2 linked regions of the Caenorhabditis elegans genome follow. The protein of the gene in region 2 interacts with the protein of the main gene of each other region in a pairwise test. Each region holds a gene or a part of one and is shown on either strand. Other genes may lie near its edges.

Region 1 (10,295 bases), on a different chromosome or scaffold from region 2:
TGCCTGTCGGAAAAATACAATCGCAATTAACTTTAAAGTTGCATTTGGTAATTGCCAACTAACAAATTACCCAAAATATAGATCAGGTTGACGAGAAATTTTGAGAAAAAGTCACTTAAAATTTCGATCAAGGTCCGTGAAATGTGAATTTTTGGTGTTTTAATAAAAGCTTTTTGGAACGTTTTTTATTAGTAAAAATGTTGTACTATGTTTTAACCCAGGTCAAAAAAATTCCAAATTAATACTCATTTAGAAATTCCCAAATCTACAAATGCTATAAATACTTGCTACTTGACCATTAAATTTTTAGGTACCTCTTCCCATTTCGACCATAAGCGATTCGATTCCGAAGAGCCCGGATGGAGAGTGGAATCCACATTTCTTCTGATAATTGTGGCTCTAATCGTAATTGTTCTCATAATCACGTTAGTCGTCTGGAATATCTGCTGGGGTATTAAAAAACGAAAACTAATCAGTGACTTTCAAATGCAATTTGTGCAACAGTACAAGCATCAGAATCAAGTTAGAATTTTGAGAATTTTAGAAAATCCGTGATTGATGTTTTAGATTCTTCAGCAAAATGGGACGGAATTTGAAGAAATCGAAGAGCAAGAAATTCTTCAGTCACATTCACAATCATTGAATCGCAAGCGACTTATTTTTAGTTCAGGTTAGTTACATTTTGAAATGTTTTATTATTCTAAACGAACAGACTATGTACATCTCAAGCTTAGGGATAGGCTTAGGCTTAAGTTTAGGCCTGAGCCTAGGCTTATGCGTAGGTTTAGGCTTAGGCGTAGGCTCAGGCTGACGCTAAGGCTAAGGCGTGGGCTTACCTGGAACTTGCTGAAACTATAATACTACGCTGAACTGCCAAGTCACTTGGAAGTTTTGCCTGTCGTAAAATTGCTGCAAGACCGAACAGAAAGAAAACTCTCTGGCACCACGTTCGTAACTATTTTCCAGAATACTTTGACTCTGCACAAATGACCCATCCGTCACCGCTAGCCATACAATTCCTTTACGACTTGCGACGAGTTGTAGATGTTGCAAAGGAACGTATACGTCAGCGCCGCTTTATTCCGGCGCTTCCAGTTATCATTGAGGACGTCGAAAATGAGATAGATTACGTGGAAGCTGTTGAGGGGCCAGTGGATATCGCTAGTTCAGCGACGCCCGAGTCGTCGCCACGCAGTGAGCAGAAATCAGTGGATAGCGGGAGAGAATCGAGAGATGAATCCGAGGAAGACGAGGAGACTGCTCCTGGGACAGAGGGGCAAAAGGAGATTTCTACAATGACACAAAGTAAAGTGTCAGATATTGTGAAATGTATGTTCGTTGATTGCTGCCGAGAGGCCATCACTAGGTCGCATCAACATTACAGTATATTGTTTCTTCACTTCCACGACTTTAAAGGAGGGTGAGTTTATCCGAATTGGTCTCGGCACGCATCATTCTTTGATTTTTGAAGCGCGTGGCGGGACCATTTCGAATAAATGCGCCCTCCTTTAGAGTCGCAGAAGTGGAAAAAAAAAGGGTGCTTATGGGTTTCGTTCCCCCAAAATGATTTTAAATTATTTAACACTACCTTTTTAATTTTAATCCACACGTGAATGTTTATTTTAATACTGTTTTCATTTTTTGGCTTAGAAAATCATTTCCCTAAGCCTGAGAATGAAAAAAAGTTCACGTCTCAATTAGAAAATATGGAAATCATTTTGGGGGGAACGAAACTCATAAGTACCAAAAAATGCACTGTACACACGTTTTATAAAAGACAACATCCAAGATCAATGCTTATTCAAAGTGTTTTTTTTTCTAAACAATTTAATTTTATTCCAGCTTTTGAAAAATCTGCTCCCCGGCCTTCATATGTCCCGATTATGCTGAACTCCTCGATGCGGAAGAAAAAACCGCTGAAGGTTGCTTCAACAACCCACGTGGATTCTCCAGAGGAAGTAGCTCAAGCGTTTAGAAGTCGAATTAAGGCGCCAACTGCGTTCACCGATAAAAAAAGGTTCGCCACGCCATCGCTTTTCAAAATTTAATTCCAAGTTTCTTCAGTCCTCGTGAGCGAAAAGGATATGCAGTTTTTCCATCTGATGGAACGTTCAACAAGTCATTGCCACGTCGAGGAAAACGCCAACCGCATGCACCACTGACAAACTAGTAGAAATAATCTATCAACACCATTTCCCTTGAGATCTCCAAATTTTCTGTGTTATTCATTTCGAGAATTTGTCAGGATTTGTCTTAAATTCGGGTACTTTTTTTCTGTTTGAGACAGCAATGAAATTGTAATTGTTTTAATTGTGAAAAATAAGTGTATATATAGGAATAAAACACTATAAAGGTGTTGATTCGTGTTTATTACGGACGACAGCTCCCATCTGACGACAGGCCTCCAAAGTGGCACGAGCGGACGATGCTTCAATCAGCTGAACGTTGTCCAATTGAGCGTGGCAGGTTTGGTTCTGGAATTGTTAAGAATTGGATTAGAAATATTTTCAATAATTTTTGCCAACCTGTCTCAAGAATTCGATCGCTGAGCTTCGAAGTTTTGCGTCCCTCCGATCATAAATGTCCTGAACCAATGATTTGACAGCTTCAACTTCGAATATATCCTCACGGGCATCTCGAACAAGCATATGCGAGATTTCAAAGAAATGATCCGGTAATTTCGCCAATCCTTGGCTTTCAGTCTCTGACGTCAATATCTTCTTCAGCTCATCTACATCCATCCATTGAGGAGCCACCACCTTGCAATTGTGTTTTCGTTTCATCAAAATCGCTGTCCAAACTGGAATCCGACAGGGTACGCCTGCCTCAAATGGACCAATATCGCCGGAAATCAGGTGAATCGGCCGGTCATCGGAAATTGAGGGGATCACTTCAATAAGCGAGTTTCCGGCGATGAACTCGCAACGTTCTGCATTCATTTTTTGATCTGAAAATAATAGTTTTTCAATTGAAAATATAAATTAAGAAAAGAAAATATAAATTGAGAAGAATAACTTATTTTAAAAATTTCTAAAACCCCTCCGATATTGAGGCCTTACACTTCTGATGGGAAAGTATTCCATAGAACTCAGATTTGTGAAATAAAATCTTAAAAATACACAAAAAAAAACGCTATAAAAATGGATACTTGAAAAATTTTGAATTTTTTCAATTAGAAAACGTTAATAGTTACAAATTTCGGCAGATAAAATCAAACATTCTATAAAATATTAGTAAGACCACGCCCGATATTCTCGCGTTCTTAGTTCACAAAACTATCAGCAAACGCGCTACAATTGCACGTGCGAGAGAGTGGAGAGCGCCAGAGAAGTGTTTGAGCAAATCGAGCGTTCATGTCTCGAAAAGGCTCGCGATTTATTGATTTTCTCTCGGCAAACTGATTTATTTTTTTCAAAAAACATTTAAATATTCTTCTTACAAATATTTCAAAAATATTACCACACAAAAATTCTAACTTTCCATCCATTTTTCTCTTTTTCTCGCTACCTTCTACGAAAATTGCTGAGTACTCCAAAATTTAAGATGTTCGGACGAATTGTTTCTCGTTTAACTGCACGGTTATTTCTAAAAAACGTATGGGAAGAGCATGGAGAACGGGCAGAACCGAAGGATGCACTCCGCGCCGTATTGCTCATCGTTCTGTTCGCGCTCACGTTTGCAGCCGGAATGGTGAGCCAAAACTTTTTTTTGTCATGTTCGCATGTGATGTGATCACATTTCATTTTGAAAATTTCGTCAACTTTCAGATAGCCACGTTTCTAAAAGGAGAATGGGCGCGGAGCCATATTCTCTCGTTCATCTCGTGCATCGGTGGTGGAGTTTTTCTAGGCGCCTGCCTTCTTGATTTGCTTCCAGGTGAGAAGTGGAAAATTTTGCAAAAAAAAAAAAACATCAGAGAAATGCTATTTTAGTCCAAATTTTGAAGAATATTCGCCAAAAATCCCATTTTGGCAATACACTCGCTAAAATGTAGTAGAAAACCTGAAACATTTTGCAGACTCAATAGAATCCTTCGAGAAGACCAAGATTGCAACGGAGTTCCCAGTTCCGTTGGCATTTGTAGCAGTCGGATTTCTATTGGTTCTCACAATTGATCAGGTTGTCAAAGCGGCGAAAGACCGAAATGTATTCGGACATGTTGGATACCATATTCATAGTCATAATCATGAGCATCAAAGATCTGAAGATGGTGAATCACAAGAAGAAGGAGACGAAGCTGCCGCCCAATCGAGTATTGGAGTTGCCATGCTAGTATTGGCACTCTCTGTTCATGCTCTGTTCGAGGGACTCTCGTTAGCTGTCACGTCAGATGCTTCTCAGTTGCTTCAGGTTCTGCCGGCTACCTTAAAACTACTATTTTCTTCATTTTTAAAATTAAAATTAGAATTTAAAACAAAAAATGTTTTTTTTTTTTAATTTATTTTGCAGATCTTCGGAGCGCTAATACTTCACAAATGCATAATGGGCTTCTGCCTTGGAGTTCGTCTAGTTCAAGCAAATCTAACAACTCCATGGATTGCACTTGCACAATTCCTTTTTAGTGTTCAAGTATTGATTGGTGGTCTAGCTGGAATTGGAATCATGAAATTTATCAGTGGAGGAGAACAATCATTTGCTGCAATTGTCTCATCAATTCTACAAGCAATTGCCTGTGGAACATTCTTGTATATTACTACTTTTGAAGTGATTCCACATGAATTGCATAATGGAAAATATCGAATTCTCAAGATGTTCTTCATTTATATGGGATTTGCAATCGTTGTCGCTTTTATCTTGATTTTCCCCGAAGCTTCTTAGGACATTTGTATTTCTTTTTCTCCAGGAATTCGATTAATTTTTGACATTTTGTAGCATTTTCTCTGCTTTAGTTTTTTTTTCCTAATTCTGTGCAATTTTACTCGATTTTTGTGTACATTCTGTGTCCCATCTTTTCGCTATCACACATTTTCTTGTACTTTCTCATCCCGGGTTCCAGCTCGCCATAGACCTGTGTATTTCATTCATTTTCCCAATTCCATTACTTAATATTTGACATTCCCGACGGCTTTAAAGCTCCCATTTGTTGTACCAAACCCACAATCCTAAGACTCACAGAGCTCATGTTTTTCTAATTTCAAAAATTGAATAACTATTATCTTTAACTTTTAGCCGTTTTTTCCAAATTTTATTTTAAGCACTAGACGCTCTCGTTGTTGTGATGCCTTTTTCTTTTAAAATTTTCTCAAAGTAACTGATATTTCAGACAGATGCAGCCGGACGCACTATGATAGTCCTTCTCTCCCTTCTGACAGTTTTTCTCATTTTTCTGAGGTAAATTTCTAGGCTACAAGTTTTTGGGTTTTGAACTTTAAAAAAAACGTACATTTCAGATTTTTTTTTTGTGTTTTCAAAAGAAAACTATGAAAAAAAGTTCATTTCTCTTGAAAAGTAAAAGGAAAAAAGAAATCTGTAAATTTTTTTGAGAATCTAAAAAAAAGAAATTTATGGCTGCAACATTAGTTTAAAATAACAAACTTCCAGCTACATCGATGTGATTCTATCGTGGATCTTCTCATTCGTTACAAAATCTCATGTTCGCATCGGAGGTGTGGGATTCGTTCAGTTGCGTGACGTCACCATCAAAATCTCGTGGCTCTCCATTCACATTGACGTAATCTCGTTGTCGAGGGATCGAGCTCATCCGACACGCTTTTGTGTTTTGCGGTTCGATGATGTGAGGATCGAGGCCGAGAAGAATGTACAGTGGTATGGAAAAGTGGAAGAGGTGGAAGATCCGTCGAAAATGATCAAATTAAACATCTGGACGTCTCGATTCACTCGAATCGCTCAGTACTGTGGTCTTGTGGTGAATCGTGTACATATTGTAGTAATGAATACGATACCGGATTGCCTGTTGCACGTGACAATCGACGAGTTGTCGCTTGAAACGTTCCGGAGCAGAGAAGGATGGCAATTCGAGACGTCTTGCTCACTAATACAGGCGAAGCTTTTGAGACGAGGAAGGAACAGTGGGAGCTTGCTCGCGGAGCTGTCAATGCCGTTTCAACTCTCTTTAGATATCGATAAGGATGTTGTGGATAACGTGGCCTTGAGGATTTCGTCACCGGCGATCGCGTTCAGTGATGACTTTTTTGAAGTTTTTAGCAGTTGGACTGGATACACGGAAAGAAGTGGCTCTGCAGAACTCAAAACTCCCCTGAAACTACTCCAAATGACCGTGGTCATCCACTCGTTCTCCATCAAATATACCACGAATAACCGCTACATCACGGCTGGTATAAAGCAAATCCAATTTACTAGAAACCTGGAAACCAGCATACTAGTGATTTCCGAGCTGAACATCGCAGATCAGCTGCTCAGAAGTGAGCTTAAACTTACCATGATAAAGTTTGAGACGGCTGTGAAGACGCTTCACTGCTCTGTGGAAGGAGTTCATGCTAAACTAGCGTTCCATGATGTTCAGTGGTGGAATAAGAGTCTTAAAGAGCTCCAAAGAATCAGTGGACATCAAGGATCTTCAGGAGGATCGAGAGGATCAGATTATCAAATCTTTCTTGAATTCTGTGATTTGTCGGCCGAAATTGTCGACTTTGAATCCCACCGATCGTGGTTTAAGCTAGGCTTTCTCACGTTTGAAAAGTCGAATGAAACGTCTACTCAATTTGAACTTGGAATCGAGATGCTTTTCTTCGGATCACAAGACGATCCTGAATCCCTACAACAATTCGAATACCATGAATGGGGGGAAACTCTATTTATTGGAGCATTTATAGCGCAATGGAAGAAACTTTCGAAGAAGAATTTGTTAGATATTACTGTGGGATGTGATGATGTGAAGTTCGAATGGTCCGATCAATTGGCTCGACAAATTGAAGGGGTTATTCATGGAATTCTTGGAGCCGAGCATTCTGCTAATGGGGAAGAAGCTGGGAATTTGTGCCTTGCGGTTCAAGTGTCGGCTAATAGGTAAAGAAAAAAATCCTGGCCCAAGAATATTTTCAAAATACCGCGAAAGACATTCTCTTCGGAGCGCGCCGTGGATTTTTCGGTGTTTTTGAGTGAAAATCAAAAAATCAAAAAATTTTCGATTTTTCGATTTTCTGGAAAATCAAAAAAAAATGTTCATGTTCAGAAAATTAACCATAAAATATGATTTTTAAAAATCTAATTTTGTTTATATTGATGAGAAAAAATATAAAATTTTTTTCTAAAAAGAAGAAGAATTATTATATAATGGCCAAAATTATTAGCAAATTTTGAAAAATCGAAAAAACAAAACAATTTCGATTTTACACCTTTGATCAGGAGCCAAATTGAAGCCATTTCAAAATATTTACCCGATCTTTAAAGTTGGAGGGAGACTTTTTTCAATAACAAAGAAAGTAATTACAGACTAGCCGTACTAGTGAACGCCACGAACAAATCCTACGCGGCACTATGTGCTTCCAAACTCGAATTTATTACCGATAACTGGCAAAAAGATGGCCTTCTCAAAATGGAGATGATGCGTGGCGCGACCGGAATTCGAGAAGATACTGAAGATCATGTTCTTCTCGCGGATATTTTCGAATCGCAGCGAGTAGTTGAAGAAGCAGCCGAAATTCACAGTTCACCAACTCGGAGATGGAGCCATTTGGAGAGAGAACGAGTATATAAAGAGGAACGAGAGAAACGAGCTAATCAATTTGAATTCAAATTCAAACAGTTCATTACGGTGAACACTTTGGAGTTTCTCATTGATAAACAATCATCGGTTATCGATAAAATATCAGTTTTCACATCGAGCGAGGTCTTCTTGGCGTGGTCTCCACAGCTTCATCTCATTGTTTTTGACGCTTATAAGTCTGTCAAAAAGTGAGAGTTTTATCAGGAATATGGGAGAAAATCATTTTTAGCGGTTTTTTGAAAATTAAAACTTAATTGAAAAAAACTACCGAATGCCAGAGGCTAGTCAGCAAATTTAAATTTAAAACACTTCTTTTGCTCAGAAAATTTGAATTTCCCGCCAAAATTTTTTGCCAGATAGATTTTATGAAAAATTGACATGATTTTTAAAAATTCTGAATTTTTTTTACCTTTCAAGAAAAAACAACAAAATCCTCTTGGTAAACATAATTTTCTAAATTTAAGGTAAAACAGTATAAATTAGTTTTTTAATTTGACATTTTAATATTCAATAAAATTCCTTTTTTGCAGAACCGTTCAACTCCTATCATTTCCGAATCCGTCAACTTTAACACGAAAAGTGCCTCGAAAAAAGCACATAATTCTGACCGCCGAAAATTTCGTCGAAGTTCAACTGGAGCTGGCAAGAAATAATCGAATGTTCTGGCAGGGAGAGAAATTTCGTTTGGAACGGCTTGATAATCAAATGAGAATGAATACGGAGATTCTTTATGTTATGCTCAATGAGCAAAGGATCATAAGTGTATTAAATCCAACGATCACGGTTCAAAATTCCGATGATCTGATGACGCAATCACGATCTGCATTTGCTACGTTGTCATCGGCCACGAATAAAGTTTGGATTTGGTCGGCCGATAAATTCATGTTCCGATTGCCGTTCAATTTTGATTTCGCGCAAATTTTCGATGAGTTTCTTCAAATAATCAAATGGATCAAGGTTGTTCATGAAGTGAAGAAAAAGGAGTTCACAGAAGCATCTCCACTGCCAAGTGATGTTCGGATTGAATTTCTAGAAGTTTGGTTAGAACTAGAGGATGATGAATTTGAGAATCGATTGAAGCTTAGTGCACAACTAAAAGAGGATGAAGTATATGAGTCTGAACGAAGAGAGCAATTGTTGGAGGAGAGACTTTTTAATTTGAAGAAGACGGCGCCGTTTTTGTCGAGTATGTGAAAAATCTGAAATTTATTTTTTGAAAAAACAATTAGTTTAAGACATTAAATGTATAAACCTCGATCTTTTACAGAAGAAATGATCGAAGCAATCAAAAATAGCCTTATCGAGAAGAACAGTGAGATCTACATTGAACGATGGAAAATGACGGAAGTCAGTGATTCTCCTCTATTTCTATCAAAATGGAAGGGTTGGAATATGAGAGCATTTGCTGATGTAACACTACATGGAACTGAAAAGTGTATTCAAATGATGAAGGCTTTTGACCCGTTGAGCCCGATTCCCGAGCAAAATTATTCCACTTTATGGGCTCGTGCTGTTGAATTTGATGTTGATGAATGGACAGTCACTTTTAAGGATTATCCAATGAAATATTTGGATATTAAGGATCTTCACTTCTTTGGAACTCTAGTTGCCGCAGAAAGCCTGTCCGAAGACGGGCGGTCACTTCGAGAGTGTGTGATTCCTCTTCCAGAACCGTTTCCAACTCATTCTGTATGGAAGAACATGTCTCCTATCAAGTTTTATTATGATCTTCAATGTGGTAAGTGGTGGAGGCTACAAAGTACAAAATTTGCCAAAAATTCATGATTTACAAGAAAAATTCGATTTTTTAAATCAGATTTTCCGGTTTAAAAAATTAGACATTCTAATTTTCGACTTTTTTAAAATCAAAAACGAAAATTTAAGATTTTTCAAATCAAAATCAACAGAACTGTAGTTTTGGAAAAAAAAAATCGACTTTTCGTCTTATGAAAGGATTCAGGTTTTGTGTTGATGGGGGGATGGGGTTGGTTGTAGTAGTACTGTAGGAGTACGATAGGATTACTTTAGACTTTAAAAATTACGTTCTATAGTTAAATTAATTTATGAAATGAAGGGGTATAATACGCAAGTACCAAATTTAGTTCATTTTTTTAATGTAGAAATACATAAGTACATCAAAATTTTTCAGCAAGTACCGAATACAACTGCACCTACGGCCCCTGCTGGGAACCGTGCCTCTCAATGATTTCCCTTGTTTGGAATAACATCTCGGCACCATCAAAAGACCCATCACAGCCTCTTCCATTTTGGGATAAAATGCGTTTTCTATTACACGGAAAACTATTATGGTCGAGTGAGAAGCTGGTGACGACGATGTTGGCTTCAACGGATCCCTATAATGAAACTGAGACTGTTGAAATGTTATGGGAAGATTTCGGGTTAGATTGGGCACTTGGAGAGATTCGAATCAAATCGGGGCTCAAAATATTCTTGAGAACAGCGTCAAGATATGACGATTCACAGATTCTCTCTCTTCCTGATGTTCGACTCAAAATTCTGTTAGGATGGGAATGTGGTGGAGATCCTCATGAGCATCACGGAGTTCAACTATGCTCCCCACAGCGATTACCGCATTATTCTTCGGTAA
Region 2 (14,309 bases):
AAAAATTGGAAAAAATAACAAAAATTTCTGGAAGAAAGCCTGAAAATCGACAAAAAACGGATTTTTCTGATTTAAATTTGAAAATTGGTCATTTTTAGCTCAAAAATCGCTGAAAACTGGCAAAAATGAACCGGAAATTTGAAAATTTTGAAAAAACACTGAAAATCTACAAAAAACGACGGATTTTTCTGATTTAAATTCGGACATTTTTCGTCAATTAATGCTGAAAAAATGATCACCTTTAGACCATTTTTTCGAGAAAAAAAAGAAGTTTTTTTTTATTGAAAAATACTGAAAATGGCAAATTTTGATCATTTTTCATCGAAAATCGCTGAAAATTGGTGAAAATGAGCCCAAAATTTCAGAAAATTTGCACAATTTGATGGAAAAAACTTGAAATTCGACTGAAAAAAAGATTTTTTTGAATTTCGATTTTTTTTTTCGAAAAATTCAAAAAAATCGGTCATTTTTAACATAAAAATTGCTAAAAACTGGTAAAAAAAGAGCCTAAATTGCAAATTTTGATCATTTTTCATCGAAAATTGATTAAATTTTTCATTTTTAAGTCGAAAAGTGGCCTAAAGCCTGAAGAGGCCCGGAATTTGAAAAGCTTGGAACACAATTTGATAAAAAACGGAATTTTCTCACACCAAAAAATATCATTTTAAACCAATTTTCGCTTGAAAAACTCTCGAAAATTCGGTCTTTTTTATACTAAAACTTGCTGAAAACGGTAATTTTTTGTAATATATATATAAAATTGAAAATCGAAGGGCTTTCTGGTCATTTTGAACCATTTTTCGTTAAAAATTGATTGAATTTATTATTTTTGAATGATTTTTAAGTCGAAATGTGTGTGTCCAAAGTCCGAAATTTGAATATTTCAGAAAAATTCACCAAATTTGATGCAACAGACACCCTGAAAATCGACAAAAAAAACAGATTTTTCGTGAAAAATATGTAGAAAATTGAAAACAAAAAGGTTTTCTGGTCATTTTGAACCAATTTTCATCAAAAATTCATAGGGTTTTAAGTTTTATCCTAAAAATCGCTAAAAACAGTAATTTTTCGTAAAAAAAACACTGAAAATTATACTTTTAATCCATTTCTTCGAGAAAAATTCGAAAAAAATTTGCTTTTTATGTGAAAAAATCAAATTTCCACGTGGCGGCGGGCGGTCTTCGATTTAAAAAAATTCAAGTTTTGCGAAAAAATTTGTGAATTTCGTCACAAATTCCATTTTTCAAGCCAATTTCACTGTTTTTTTTTCATCAATTTCATAGAAAAATAGGAGAAATTAGGTGAATTTATGCGAAATTTCCGGGTTTTCACACAATTTCCGTACTTTTGATAGCTTCGCAGTGTTGTTGAAGAAGCCGGTGGTGTTAAATTTCAAGAAATTTTAGTTAAAAATTGATTTAAAATTATAAAAAAGTCACTTTTTTTCACAAATTTTCTTATGAAAAAAATGGTAAAAAGTTACCAGAAACTCCAAAAAATTTGGAAAAAAATGAAGTTTTTCAGCCGAAAATCCATTTTTTCGATAATTTTTATTCAAAATCTATAAAAATGGAGATTTTTCGAGTTTTCAGTTCAAAAATTGAATTTTTTTTTTGATGAATTTATAGCTTAAAAATGTATATTTCTTTTCCGAATTTACATTTTCCACTGATGAAAAACCTCAAAAATGGTATAAAAATTTTGAAAAAAAAATTAAAAACATCATTTTGAGCCAATTTTCACCAAAAAATCGGTCATTTATAGCGTTAAAATCGCTGAAAACTGTTAAAAATAACTTTTTTTCACAAATTTTTCATGAAAAATGGTAAAAAACCACCAGAAACTCCAAAAAATTTGGAAAAAATCTGATTTAGAGCGCCAAAAAAACGGTTTTTTTCTGCAGATTCCGATGAAAAAATGGATACCAATACCAACGACGACGTTCCATCAACGACCGAAGCGAAATCAGCCATCGATAAAGGAGTTCAGGCTGCGGCTGCCTCATGCCTAGCCGCCGCCGCCGTAAAAGCCAAGCATCTGGCTCAGATTGAGGAACGCCGTATCAAAAGCCTCGTCGCACAGCTTGTCGAGACTCAAATGAAGAAGCTTGAGATGAAGCTTCGTCATTTTGACGAGCTCGAGCAGATTATGGATAAGGAGCGGGAATCGTTGGAATATCAACGGCATCAGTTGATTCTTGAACGTCAGGCTTTTCATATGGATCAGCTTAAATATCTCGAGAATCGGGCTAAACATGAAGCTCATTCTCGGATGACAAGCTCTGGAGCTCTTCCGGCTGGGCTTCCACCTGGATTTGAGGTTACCGGCCCGCCACAGCCTACTCCTCAGGTGCAGATTAGTGCTCAGGAGGCTGCGATTCCAGAGAAGATGGATACTTCGGAAGCAGCGACTGCTGCTCGGCCACCGTCCACACCACAGGCTCCGCAAGCTCCCCCCGTTCAGGCCGCTCCGGCGCCGGTTCAGGCTCCTCAGGCTCCACAGGCTCCACCACAAGCCTACCAAGGCTATGGAGGGCCTGGAGGGCCCCCTCAACAAGCCTACCGCTACCCACCACAACAAGGCCAACAATACTCACCATACCCACCACCCCAACAACAACAACAACATCAGGCTCAGCAGGCCCAGTCTCAGGCTCACTATGGCCCACCGGGTGGAGGACAAGGCCCACCACCACCACCACAAGGCCAGCAATACTATGGAGGGCCGCCGCCACCGGGCCAGCCGTACGGGCCGCCAGGAGGCTATCCGCCACAGCAGCAGAGGCCACCATATCAGGCTCAACCGTATCCGGGCCCGCCGCCGCCTCAGCAGCAGAGGGGATATGGTTATCCACCACCACCGCAGCCAGGTAGATAGATATTTTAGGCCTGAAAATGCAATTTAGTCCCGGAAAATTCGGCTTTTTCTGCAAAAATCGCAAAAAAATACGATTTTTTTTCAGAAAATCCGAAAAAATTTGAATTTTTTAGTCCTGAAATGCAATTTTGTCCGGAAAAATTCCTGGGAGCATGGATTTTTTTTCTGGGAAAAATCGAAAATTGAGCTTTTTAGTGACGTTTTGGCGAAAATGTTTGCCAATTTCGATGAAAAATGGACGAAAATTGAGAGATTTTCACTAAGAATAGCGCCAAAAAATGGAAAAATTGCAATTTTTCCAGGCATTTTGTAGAAAATCCGAAACCAAAAAACACTGAAAATTTAAATTTTCAATTCAAATTTCCAGTGCAGTCAGTTCCCGAAAAATGGCTAGAAAATTGTCGAAAATTTGAAATTTTATTGAATTTTGGAATTTTTAAGCATTTTTTTTTTCATTGAAATGTTGATTTTTGACCAATTTTCGATAAAATTTGGTTTAGCAGCGCCCAAAAACTTGTAGTTTGTAGTCTAAGCAGCGCCCAAAAACGAAAAATACGAGATTTTTCAGATAAATTATTTGAAAAACTAGAGAAATGCGAATTTTCGCTGAAAAATGGCTAAAAATCGTAAAAACTTAAATAAATTCAGCTAAAAATGATATCAAAAATCAAGCACGATTCGAAATTTTGCAGAAAAATACGCTAAAAATTCGAAAAAACTATTAATTTTGCGAGAAAAATCATCAAATTTCTAGGAAAATGCTATATTCTGCTGAAAAATTGGCAAAAATCGCGAAAATTTGCACGAAAAATCGATTTTTTTTGAAAAGCAGCGCCCATTTTGACGTTTGGCACTTTTTTTCCAAAAAAAAAACGAAAAATTAGAAAATTGGACTAAAAATGCATTAGCAGCGCCAAAAAACTTGTAGTTTGTAGTTTTAGCAGCGCCCAAAATTGAATTAGCAGCGCCCAAAACTTGTAGTTTGTAGTCTAAGCAGCGCCCAAAACTTGTAGTTTGTAGTCTAAGCAGCGCCCAAAATTGAATTAGCAGCGCCCAAAACTTGTAGTTTGTAGTCTAAGCAGCGCCCAAAAACTTGTAGTTTGTAGTTTTAGCAGCGCCCAAAAACTTGTAGTTTGTAGTCTAAGCAGCGCCCAAAAACTTGTAGTTTGTAGTCTAGCAGCGCCCAAAATTGAATTAGCAAACACTAATAAAAGCATAAATTAATCCAAAAAAAGTATTTTCAGGACACCCATACCAGCAGCCATATGGTCAAATGCCACCACCACCACACGGACAATATCAACCACAGCAGCAGCAGGGAGGTCCAATGGGACCACCCGGGGGACATCATGAAGGTGGAGACGGTGGAGATTCACAACAGAAACAGGAATAATTTATGGAAATTTTGAATTTTTTCTGATTTTTTTCTGATTTTTTTTGCGCATTTTTTTGTTAAAATTCTCGGATTTTTTTTTTTGGAAATTTTTTGTGAAAAATCGCTGAATTTTTCTGATTTTTTTGCGAATTTTTTGGTATATTTTGGACATTTTTCAGATTTTTTTTCTCAAAATTTTTAGAAAATTCGCTGATTTTTTCCCAAAATTTATCCGAATTTTCTAAAATTTTCTGGATTTTTTCAAAAATTCCCTATTTTTTCAGATTTTTTGCGAATTTTTGAGCATTTTTTGGAAATTTTGTCCTCAAAATTTTCCATTTTTTCTCGAATTTTTTTTACAAAATTTTTCACTGAATTTTCCCAATTTTAATCCTATTTCCTCCGATCGCATTTTTTAAAATGTTTTACCACCCCCTTATATACATATTTACCCCCATTCTGTTTCCCCCGTAAAAAAACCACCAAAATGATCTTTTTTTCTCTCTCTGAAATATATATATATGTAACACCCCTCCGAACTCCACGCTGCTGGTATCTCCTTTTTTTCATGGTTTTTTTTAACGATTTTAATTTTAATTTATTCGTATCTTGTGCTATTTAACACCCCACCAACACATATTACTCTCTCTCTTTCTTTTTTTCTATTTATATGATGAAAACGCACACTTTTTCGACGAATTTTTGCATTTTTTTTTGTTGAAATTTTGCGGTTTTTTCCAATGATTTTTATATATTTTTTTTAAATCGGGATTTGAGGATTTTCAGATTTTTTTTTTGCTGTAAAAAACTAAAAGAAATTATATTTTTGGATATAAAATTTTAAAATTTGAAATTTAAAAGTGAAAAAAAAATTTCAAAAAAGTTTATTTTTGGTCCGAAAAAAATATATAAAAATATGAATTTTCCAGCAAAAATTATTTTTTCGAAATTTATTCAATTTTGATAGAAAAACTGAGAAAAAATTCCAAAAAATTGATTTTTCTGAAAATTTGGAAAAAATCGTTTTTTTTTTTTGCAAAAAAAAATGGAAAAATCAAATTTTTCGAATAAGTTTGAAATTTCCACTAAAAATATTTTTTTTACGAAAAAAAAACTTATTTGGTTCATAAAAACTTGAAATATATATATATATATAAATGTGAATTTTCCTGAAAAAAATTAATTTTCCACCTAAAAATTATATATTTTTTCAAATATAAAACTAAAAAACTCTATTTTCCAATTAAATTCAATTTTAATCGAAAAACTGGAAAAAAATTTCAAAAAATTGGTTTTTTTCTTTAGAAAAATCAATATTTATCTGAAAAATTGGAAAAAATCATTTTTTGCAAAAAAAAAATCAAATTTTTTGAATAAATATAAAATTTCCACTAAAAAATATTTTTTCCATAAAATACAAAAATTTAAAAAAATTTAATTTTCCAAATTTAAAACTCCGAAAAAATTTCCTTTTTTACAGGAAAAAACCCCGATTTTTATGATAAAACGTTTTTCACCCAAAAATCAATATTAGTCTGAAAAATTGAAAAAAAAAATTCAATTTTTACTGAAAAAAATTAACATTTCTCACTTTCCTTTAAAAATAATTAATTTTCCACAAAAAAAACCAAATTTTTTCAATTTTAGCACTAAAAATATTATTTTTCCAAAAAAAATTTAAAGTTCAAAAAATATATTTCCAGAGTTTCCATTTCCCAAAAAATACTAAATTTTGATAGAAAAACTGAGAAAAAAATTCCAAAAAAATTTGAAAAAATATTTTTTTTTGCCAAAAAACAAGGAGAAATCAAATTTTTCGAATAAATTAAAAATTTCCATTAAAAAACTATTTTTCCCATAAAAACTAAATAAAAATATATATAAATGTGAATTTTCCTGAAAAAAATCAAAATTTTTCAATTTTAGCACAAAAAAAAATTATTTTTCCAAAAAAATAATAAAAAAATTTTTTCAAAAATTAATTTTCACCTAAAAATGATGAATTTCTTCAAAAAAAAACATTTTTCCCAAAAAAATTTTTTTTTTCAATTTTGGCACTAAAAATATTATTTTTCCCAAAAAAAATTTTTTCAACTAAAAAAAAATTTAAATTAAAAAAATATATTTCCCCAGAATTTCCAAAAAAAAAAATGGCCGTCACCGACTCTGCAACAACCTTTTTGGATTTTGACGACGACGAATACGATGAGATGACTACACCGGAAGAAGTGCTCCGAAAAATGACAGCCACGTGGCAAAATGAGCTGTGTGCTCCGTGCCTTCTCCCAACTCAAATGGAACTTGTCGAAATCCTACTTGATCAGATTCAGGGAATGGAGGAAAATATTGGAAAACAAACGGATAAAATGCAGCTGAGAATCTCAGTTCATCGAGTCGAGCTTCAACGCATTGGGTTTATTACGTCGGATTATGTTAGGTGTGCGGCGGGAAAATGAGCCCCGAAAATGGAGAAAAGTAGCGAAAAACCACGAAAAATACGAAATTTCACGAAAAATAGTGAAAAAACGGAGAAAAATGGGAATTTTCGCTGAAAATTAGTTTAAAAACCGTCCAAAATGGAGAAAATCATGAAATACTGGAAATTTTCACTGAAAATTAATTAAAAAACGGAGAAAAATGGGAATTTTCACGGAAAATTAGTTAAAAAAACGGAGAAAAACGCGAATTCTCACGGAAAAATGGTCGAAAACCACGAAAAATGCAAAAATTCACTGAAAATTGATTAAAAATCGGCGAAAAATGCGATTTTTTGCAGAAAATTGATAAAAAATCACGAAAAATGCATTTTTTCGCTGAAAATTGATTAAAAATCGTCTAAATGGAGAAAATCATGAAATATTGCAAATTTTCACTGAAAATTAGTTAAAAATCGAGAAAACTTCACATTTAGAGTGACAATTAGCCGAAAATTCACGAAAAATGCGAATTTTCACGAAAAAATAGTGAAAAATCGGCGAAAAATGCGAATTTTAACTGAAAATTAATCAAAAATCGGCGAAAAATGCGAAATTTTGCTGAGAAAGTATCAAAAAATCGGAAAAACTTGGAAATTCAGCCGAAAATTAATCAAAAATCGAAAAAAAGCTATATTCTGCAGAAAAATTTGCAAAAATTGTCTAAAAATTTGTACAAAAATCGATTTTTTATGGAAAAAAAAATTGAAAAGCAGCGCAAATTTCGACGTTTTGGCGCTTTTTTGCCGAAAAAAAGGGCGAAAAATGAAAAAAATGGACCAAAAATTCATTAGCAGCGCCCAAAACTTGTAGTTTGTAGTGCCTGAAATTCAAAAACACGCTAAAATCCTCAATTTTCATCGAATTTTGCCCATTTTTTCACGAAAATTTCCAAAAAATTCCCAAATTTTCGTAGATTCTCACTAATTTTCTCGAACAATTTTCTGCAGATGCCGCCTCCAAAAAATCGAATCAAATCCACACGACGCAATCGATCAACACAAAAAACGAAAAGAAGAGGGAAAAAGTGATCTACTATCGGAATCTGAGATGAAATTCGCCGAAGAATATGCTCTAGCGGAGTCGAACCTTTTTCAGAAAACTGTCCTGGGTACGGCGGATGGATTTTTGGTTGAAAATTGCGATTTTTTATTGAAAAAATCGTAAAAATTGGCCAATTTTTCACTAGAAGCCTAATTTTTTTCTAATTTGAAAATTTTTTTGAAAATTCATGTATTTTTTTGTTACAATTTTGAAAAAAAAAATGTCAAAAAATTTTTTTTTTGATTTTTTGAATTTTGAAAGTTTTCCTTTCGAAACTTCAAATTTTTCTCTCAAAATTTGAATTTTTTTTGAATTTTTATTTATTTTGACCTAAAAAAAATTTTTTTTTTTGAATTTTCAAAAAAAAACAATTTTTTTGGTAAAATTGACCATAAAAATTCACAAATTTTAAGAAATTTTCAAATTTTAAAATTAATTTCAAAAAAATCGATTTTTTTTGGAATTTTCAAAAAAAAAATTTCCTTGGAAAAATTAAAATTTTGCAATTTGTTTTTTTTGTGGAAAATCAATAAAAATCTTATTTTTTGCATTTCAAAAGTTTCATTTTTAAGTTAAAAAAAAATTAAATTTAAAATTTTCGCTAAAATTTTAGAAAATTACCTCAAAAATTCAGAAAAATTTGCGTAAAAGCTCAGAAAATCTGGAAAATTTCGATTTTTTTTGCAGTTTTTTTTTCTCTCAAAAACTGCAAAATTTCGCTTAATGCCACGTGGCAATTTTTACAATTTTTTTTTCAAAATTTCAAAAAAAAAAAATTTCAAAATTCCCAAAAAAAAACTTTTTTTTTCAAAATTTCAAAAAAAAAAAAATTTCCCAAAAACTCTCAATTTTCTTCAGAATTCATGCCAGCAGCGCTTAAAAAGATGCCAGTTCCACGTGGCGATCATGATGACGTCATGGTTTACGCAAAAGTGACGTCAGATGACGTGGGCAACGTTGCGATTCCGGATTGGCAGGATTTGAATGGAGAAGTGATTTTGGAAATGGAACCGGAATCGTGTCATTTGATTCCGTTCGAATCGGTACATCAATTGGTTGAAGATGGAAATATTCAACTGATGTGAAGAAGAATTTTTTGATAATTTTTTCGGATTTTTTTGGAATTTTCATCATTTTTACCCCTAAAATCGTAAATTTAATCCATTTTTTTGTAATTTTCCCGAATTTTTCATCATTTTTTACCCCTGAAACCCCCTTTTTTTTTTTTTACATATGTCTACTTTAATTTGTCACTTTTTGCCAATTTTCTGTCAAAAAATGAGCATTTTCACTGAAATTTTGCGGTGATTTTTCGCCTGTTTTCTCCTCTTTGAATCTCAATTTTTCACTTTAAAATTATCAAATTTTGCTCAAAAACCTCATTATTCCATTTTTATGTTCCCCCAAAAAACTGGATTTTCACTTCAAAAATCGGGTTTTTTTCTCTTAAATTTTCATTTATTTTAGCTTTTTTAAACATAAAAACGAAGCTTACTCCATGTTTTTTCCTGAAAATAGACAAAAAAATTTGGTTTGATATAAATTTTCGATTTTTGAGCCAAAAAGTGAATAATTTAAAGTTTTTCTGCTCATAACATTGTTCAGCATGACCATAGCGCAAAACTGGTGAAATTTTTGGAACTTTCGTAAAATTTCAGGCTTAAAACACCTAAATTACGCGAATTTTGGAGCAGTTTGAAAACTTGGTCAAGTGGCTCAGGCGGGAAGAGAGAAGGCTATGGTTCGGAGGGTAACAGGTTCGAACCCCCGCTAGGGTCAATATTTTTTATATGTTTGAATTAGTATAGCCTAGTTGGTTTTGAGCAATTGCGAAGGGGAGGAAGGGTTTAAGGGAATTTTTTGAAAAAAATCGATAAAATGTGTTTTCTTTTGGTTTTTTGCCAATTTCTTGAAGTTTTCAGCGATTTTAGCATAAATTTCCAAATTCTGCAGAAAATTTAGACATTTTTTGACACCCATATTAACTTTTCAACTTTTTTTTTCGAATTTTGAGCCAAGAAATTGATCGATTTAAAGTTTTTTACTCATAACTCTGTTCAACATGAACGTAGATCAAAACTAGTTAAATTTCTGGAATTATCGTGAAATTCTGAGCCTAAAACAACTAAATTACGCGAATTTTGGAGCAGTTTGAAAACTGGGTCAAAGTGGCTCAGGCGGGAAGAGGTATGGTTATGTGCGGAGGGTCATAGGTTCGAACCCCCGCTAGGGTCAATATTTTTTTAATGTTTGAATTAGTATAGCTAAGTTGGTTTAGAACAATTGCGAAGGGTTTTGAGGGAATTAAAAAAAAAAAAAAACATTTTTTTTTAAATTTTTAGATTAAAAATTTTTTTTTTTTTGGAGAACTAAACTTTCAGGGCTCAGAGTAACACTGAAACAAGAACAATTTTTTTTCATATTTTATCATTTTATGTTACCTGTTACCTTGAACATGTTGATCGGCGTGATTCCACCTATAAAAACCAGCGAAAACCCCGTAAAAACCTGAAAAATGTTACTTTTCATAATTTCCCCCTTATTCCTACTCTCTCTATGCCAACCTACAGTAACCCAACACTCTCAGGAGGTACTGTCACATTTTAACAATTTCACGATGCACCATAAGAAACACTACCGTACCCCGGCGGAGAAAGACCGCCGGTTGGCTCATTTCGCGAAAAATCATCAGAAAATCCAGGAACTTAATGCGAAAGCAAGGAGAGAAGGACGAAATGTGACTTTTGGGTGGAATAAGTTTGCTGATAAGAATCGACAGGAGTTGAGCGCCAGAAATTCAAAGGTTGGGGAGTTTTTTCAAAAAGCGCACAAAATTCTGCGCAAGATGGTTTTTGATTGGTTGAAAAATATTGATTTTAAACCGAGTTATGGCGTTTTGAAGGTGGTGGCCTAGAAACCGGAAATTTAGAAAATTTAGGTCACCAGTATTAAATAGGTCAAATAGACTCTAAATTTTAGGGAGAGTACATTAGTTTTAGAATCACTGAAAAATATTGATTTTCCGTTGAGTTATGACGGTTTTAAGTTGGTGGCCTAGAAACCCAAAAATCAGAAATTCTAGGCCACCAATATTAAATAGGTCAAATCGATTCCAAATTTTGTGGCAAGTACGTTAGTTTTGGAATCACTGAAAAATATTGATCTTGAGCAAAGTTATGAAGGATTGAAGTTGGTGGCCTAAAAATCCAAAAATCAGAAATTCTAGGCCACCAATTTTAAATAGGCCGAATCTATTCCTAATTTCAAGTCAATCACGGTAGTTTAGGAACCACTGAAAATATTAATTTCGAGCCAAGTTATGAGAGATGGAAGTTGGTGGCCTAGAAACTCAAAAGTTAGAAATTCTAGGCCACCAAATATCAAATAGGTCAAATTGATTTCAAATTTTGAGAAAAGTACGTTAGTTTTGGAGTCACTGAAAAATATTGAGTTTCCGTCGAGTTATGACGGTTTGAGGTTTGTGACCTAGAAACCCAACAGTTAAAAACTCTAGGCCACCAATATTCAGTAGGTCAAATGGACTTCAAATTTTAGGGAGAGTACGATAGTTTTGGAATAGCTGAAAAATATTGATTTTCCGTTGAGTTATGACGGTTTTAAGTTGGTGGCCTAGAAACCCAAAAATCAGAAATTCTAGGCCACCAAATATTAAATAGATCAATTTGATTCCAAATTTTGAGACATATACGTTAGTTTTGGAATCACTGAAAAATATTGATTTTGAGCTGAGTTATGACGTTTTGAAGTTGGTGGCCTAGAAACTCAAATATTAGAAATTCTAGGCCACGAAATATCAAATAGGTCAAATCGATTTCAAATTTTGAGACATATACGTTAGTTTTGGAATCACTGAAAAATATTTATTTTCCGTCGAGTTATGCCGGTTTGAAGTTTGTCGCCTAGAAACCTGAAAAATTCTAGGCCACCAATTTTAAATAAGCCGAATTGATTCCAAAATTCAAGTTGATTAAGTTTGTTTCTGTAAAACTCAAAAATATTGATTTTGAGCCAAGTTACAAGAATTTGAAGCAGGTGGCCTAACTTTTAATTTCTAGGCCACCAACTTCAACCCTCCATAATTCGGCTTTAAATCAATATTTCTGAATTTTACAAAAACCAACTTACGAAATTTGGAATCGATCTGACCTATTTAATTTTTGATGGCCTAGACATCCAAAATTTTGGGTTTCTAGGCCACCAACTTCAAACTTTCATAACTCGGCGGAAAATCAATATTTTTGAAATTTGAAAATTGTATTAGAATGTTCACGGTGCGTTCTTTAAGTTCTAATTATTCTTTTTTTTTAAACGAAAATTAAAAAAAAATAATTTGGAAATTTTCCAGATTCATCCCAAAAACCACACGGATCTTCCAATTTACAAGCCGAGGCATCCACGTGGCAGTCGTAATCATCATAATAAACGCTCAAAACGTCAAAGTGGGGATATTCCGGACTATTTCGACCTCCGTGATATTTATGTCGATGGGAGTCCAGTTGTTGGTCCTGTTAAAGATCAAGGTATGCTTAATTTGAAAAAGCTTAAAATTTGAGTAAACACAGATTTTGATTGGCGAAAAAATATTGATTTTCCGCCGAGTTATGAGGGTTTGAAGTTGGTGGCCTAGAAATGCAGAAATTTTTGGATTTCTAGGCCATCAAAATCAAGTAGGTCAAATTTATTGCAATTTTTTAGACAAATAAATTGGTTTTTGCAAAATTTTATTATGTAGATTTTCCGCCAAGTTATGAATGTTAGAAGTTGGTGGCCTAGAAAAATCATGCTCAGGTTTTCTAGGCCACCAATTATTCGAAAACAATAATAACTTAGACTCAATGTTTTTACAATTTCAGGTTTGAAAACTATAATTTCTAAGCAAAGTTATAGTCGTGGAAGAGTTTTTAAACTTTCTAGGCCACCAACTTGAAACCGTCATAACTCGGCGGAAAATTGATATTTTCGGGTTTTGTTAAAAGCATGTATCTTTCCATAAAGTTTACTATCAAATTAACTTAGTTAATTTTTAATGGCCTAGAAAAACACCAAATTGGATTTCTAGGACCCAACTTCAATCCCATATAACTCGGCGGAAAATTGATATTTTCGAGATCCGTAAAAATAATTTTGTTCACCATGAAATTTACGTTCAATATGACCTACTTAAATTTTGATGGCCTAGAAAACAATCATTTGGATTTCTAGGCCACCAACTTCAAACTCTCATAACTCGCTTCAAAATCGACGTATTTGGAGTTTGTAAAAGCCAATCGGTTTGTAATTTAATTGTTAACTTGAAAAACTCCCCCAAATACCGGTGGCCTCATCTGAAATTCTAGGCCACCAACTTCAAACCTTCATAACTCCCTTCAAAATATTTATTTTTTGGTGTTTCAAAAACTATTTCCATTTTAAATTTTACGCTCTTTTCAACTGATAACTTTTCAGAACAATGCGGTTGCTGCTGGGCGTTCGCCACCACTGCCATCACCGAAGCTGCCAACACCCTCTACTCCAAGTCCTTCACAAGTCTCTCGGACCAGGAAATTTGCGATTGTGCAGATTCAGGAGACACTCCTGGGTGCGTGGGAGGTGATCCAAGGAACGGTCTGAAAATGGTGCATCTACGGGGACAGTCCAGTGACGGTGACTACCCTTACGAGGAATATCGGGCGAATACCACTGGAAATTGCGTGGGCGACGAGAAAAGTACAGTAATCCAGCCGGAAACTTTAAATGTCTATCGATTTGATCAAGATTATGCAGAGGAGGATATTATGGAGAATTTGTATCTCAATCATATCCCTACAGCAGTTTGTAAGTTTTTTTGAAGGGTCTCGCCACGAAAAGTTTTGGGGTACAGTAATCCGGTATGGTTTGGGCCTGAAACATGTGAATCTGGCAAAAATTACGAAAAAAAAATCTTAAAAACTGACTAAATTATGAGGTTTTGAAATTTGAAAATTTTGCGAAAAAATTAGCATTTGGGTCCCACCACGAAACGTCCTGTAGTTCTTTAGTCTGGGATGGCTTGAAGCCCAAATTTTGCAAACTAGTAGAATAAAAGTATGCGCTCCTGTCAAAATAAAAATTATCTGAAAATCTTGAAAACTAGCAAAGATATGTTGCTTTGAAATTTTAAAAATTTTTGCAAAAAATATTTTTTTCAAAATTTTGGTCCCGCCACGAAAAGTCCTGGGGTACTGTAGTCTGAATTGGCTTGAAGCTGAACATTTATAAGCTGACAGTAAAAAATTTTGCACACATTCTGAAATAAAAATAAGTCAGATACCTTAAAAACTGACAAAGTTATAAGGTTTTAAATTTCGGAAAAAATTTGCAAAGAAAATATTTTTTTCTTCAAAATTTTGGTCCCGCCACGAAAAGTCTTGGGTAATGGCTCTGAGCTTTGAATTCTAGTAGAGAAAGAGTATGCGCTCCTGTCAAGTTAAAAATTATCTAAAAATTTTGAAAACTGACAAAGTTATAACGCTTTGAAATTTTAAAAATTTTTGCAATTT

Evidence for each region.
Region 1: the proteins of sld-5 (region 2) and psf-2 interact in a two-hybrid assay, tested with the Caenorhabditis elegans proteins (one large-scale study listed by BioGRID).

What each region holds. Positions count from the first base shown.
Region 1 is NC_003279.8:15,045,669-15,055,963, reverse strand, and holds psf-2 (putative DNA replication complex GINS protein PSF2), read right to left. Parts: upstream 2,955-10,295; 5' UTR 2,940-2,954; coding exon 2,526-2,939; intron 2,475-2,525; coding exon 2,346-2,474; 3' UTR 2,292-2,345; downstream 1-2,291. Other genes in the region: zipt-1 (Zrt (ZRT), Irt- (IRT-) like Protein Transporter), read left to right, coding at 3,544-3,690, 3,768-3,876, 4,019-4,350, 4,450-4,818; bltp-2 (FMP27/BLTP2/Hobbit GFWDK motif-containing RBG unit domain-containing protein), read left to right, coding at 5,285-5,331, 5,542-6,987, 7,414-7,875, 8,218-8,873, 8,955-9,425, 9,837-10,291. UniProt on the Caenorhabditis elegans protein: Required for correct functioning of the GINS complex, a complex that plays an essential role in the initiation of DNA replication, and progression of DNA replication forks.
Region 2 is NC_003283.11:20,229,820-20,244,128, reverse strand, and holds sld-5 (DNA replication complex GINS protein SLD5), read left to right. Parts: upstream 1-6,383; 5' UTR 6,384-6,402; coding exon 6,403-6,689; intron 6,690-7,676; coding exon 7,677-7,837; intron 7,838-8,628; coding exon 8,629-8,855; 3' UTR 8,856-9,324; downstream 9,325-14,309. Other genes in the region: swsn-1 (SWI/SNF complex subunit SMARCC2), read left to right, coding at 1,904-2,869, 4,113-4,270; Y113G7B.15 (Pept_C1 domain-containing protein), read left to right, coding at 10,286-10,573, 12,137-12,311, 13,237-13,605.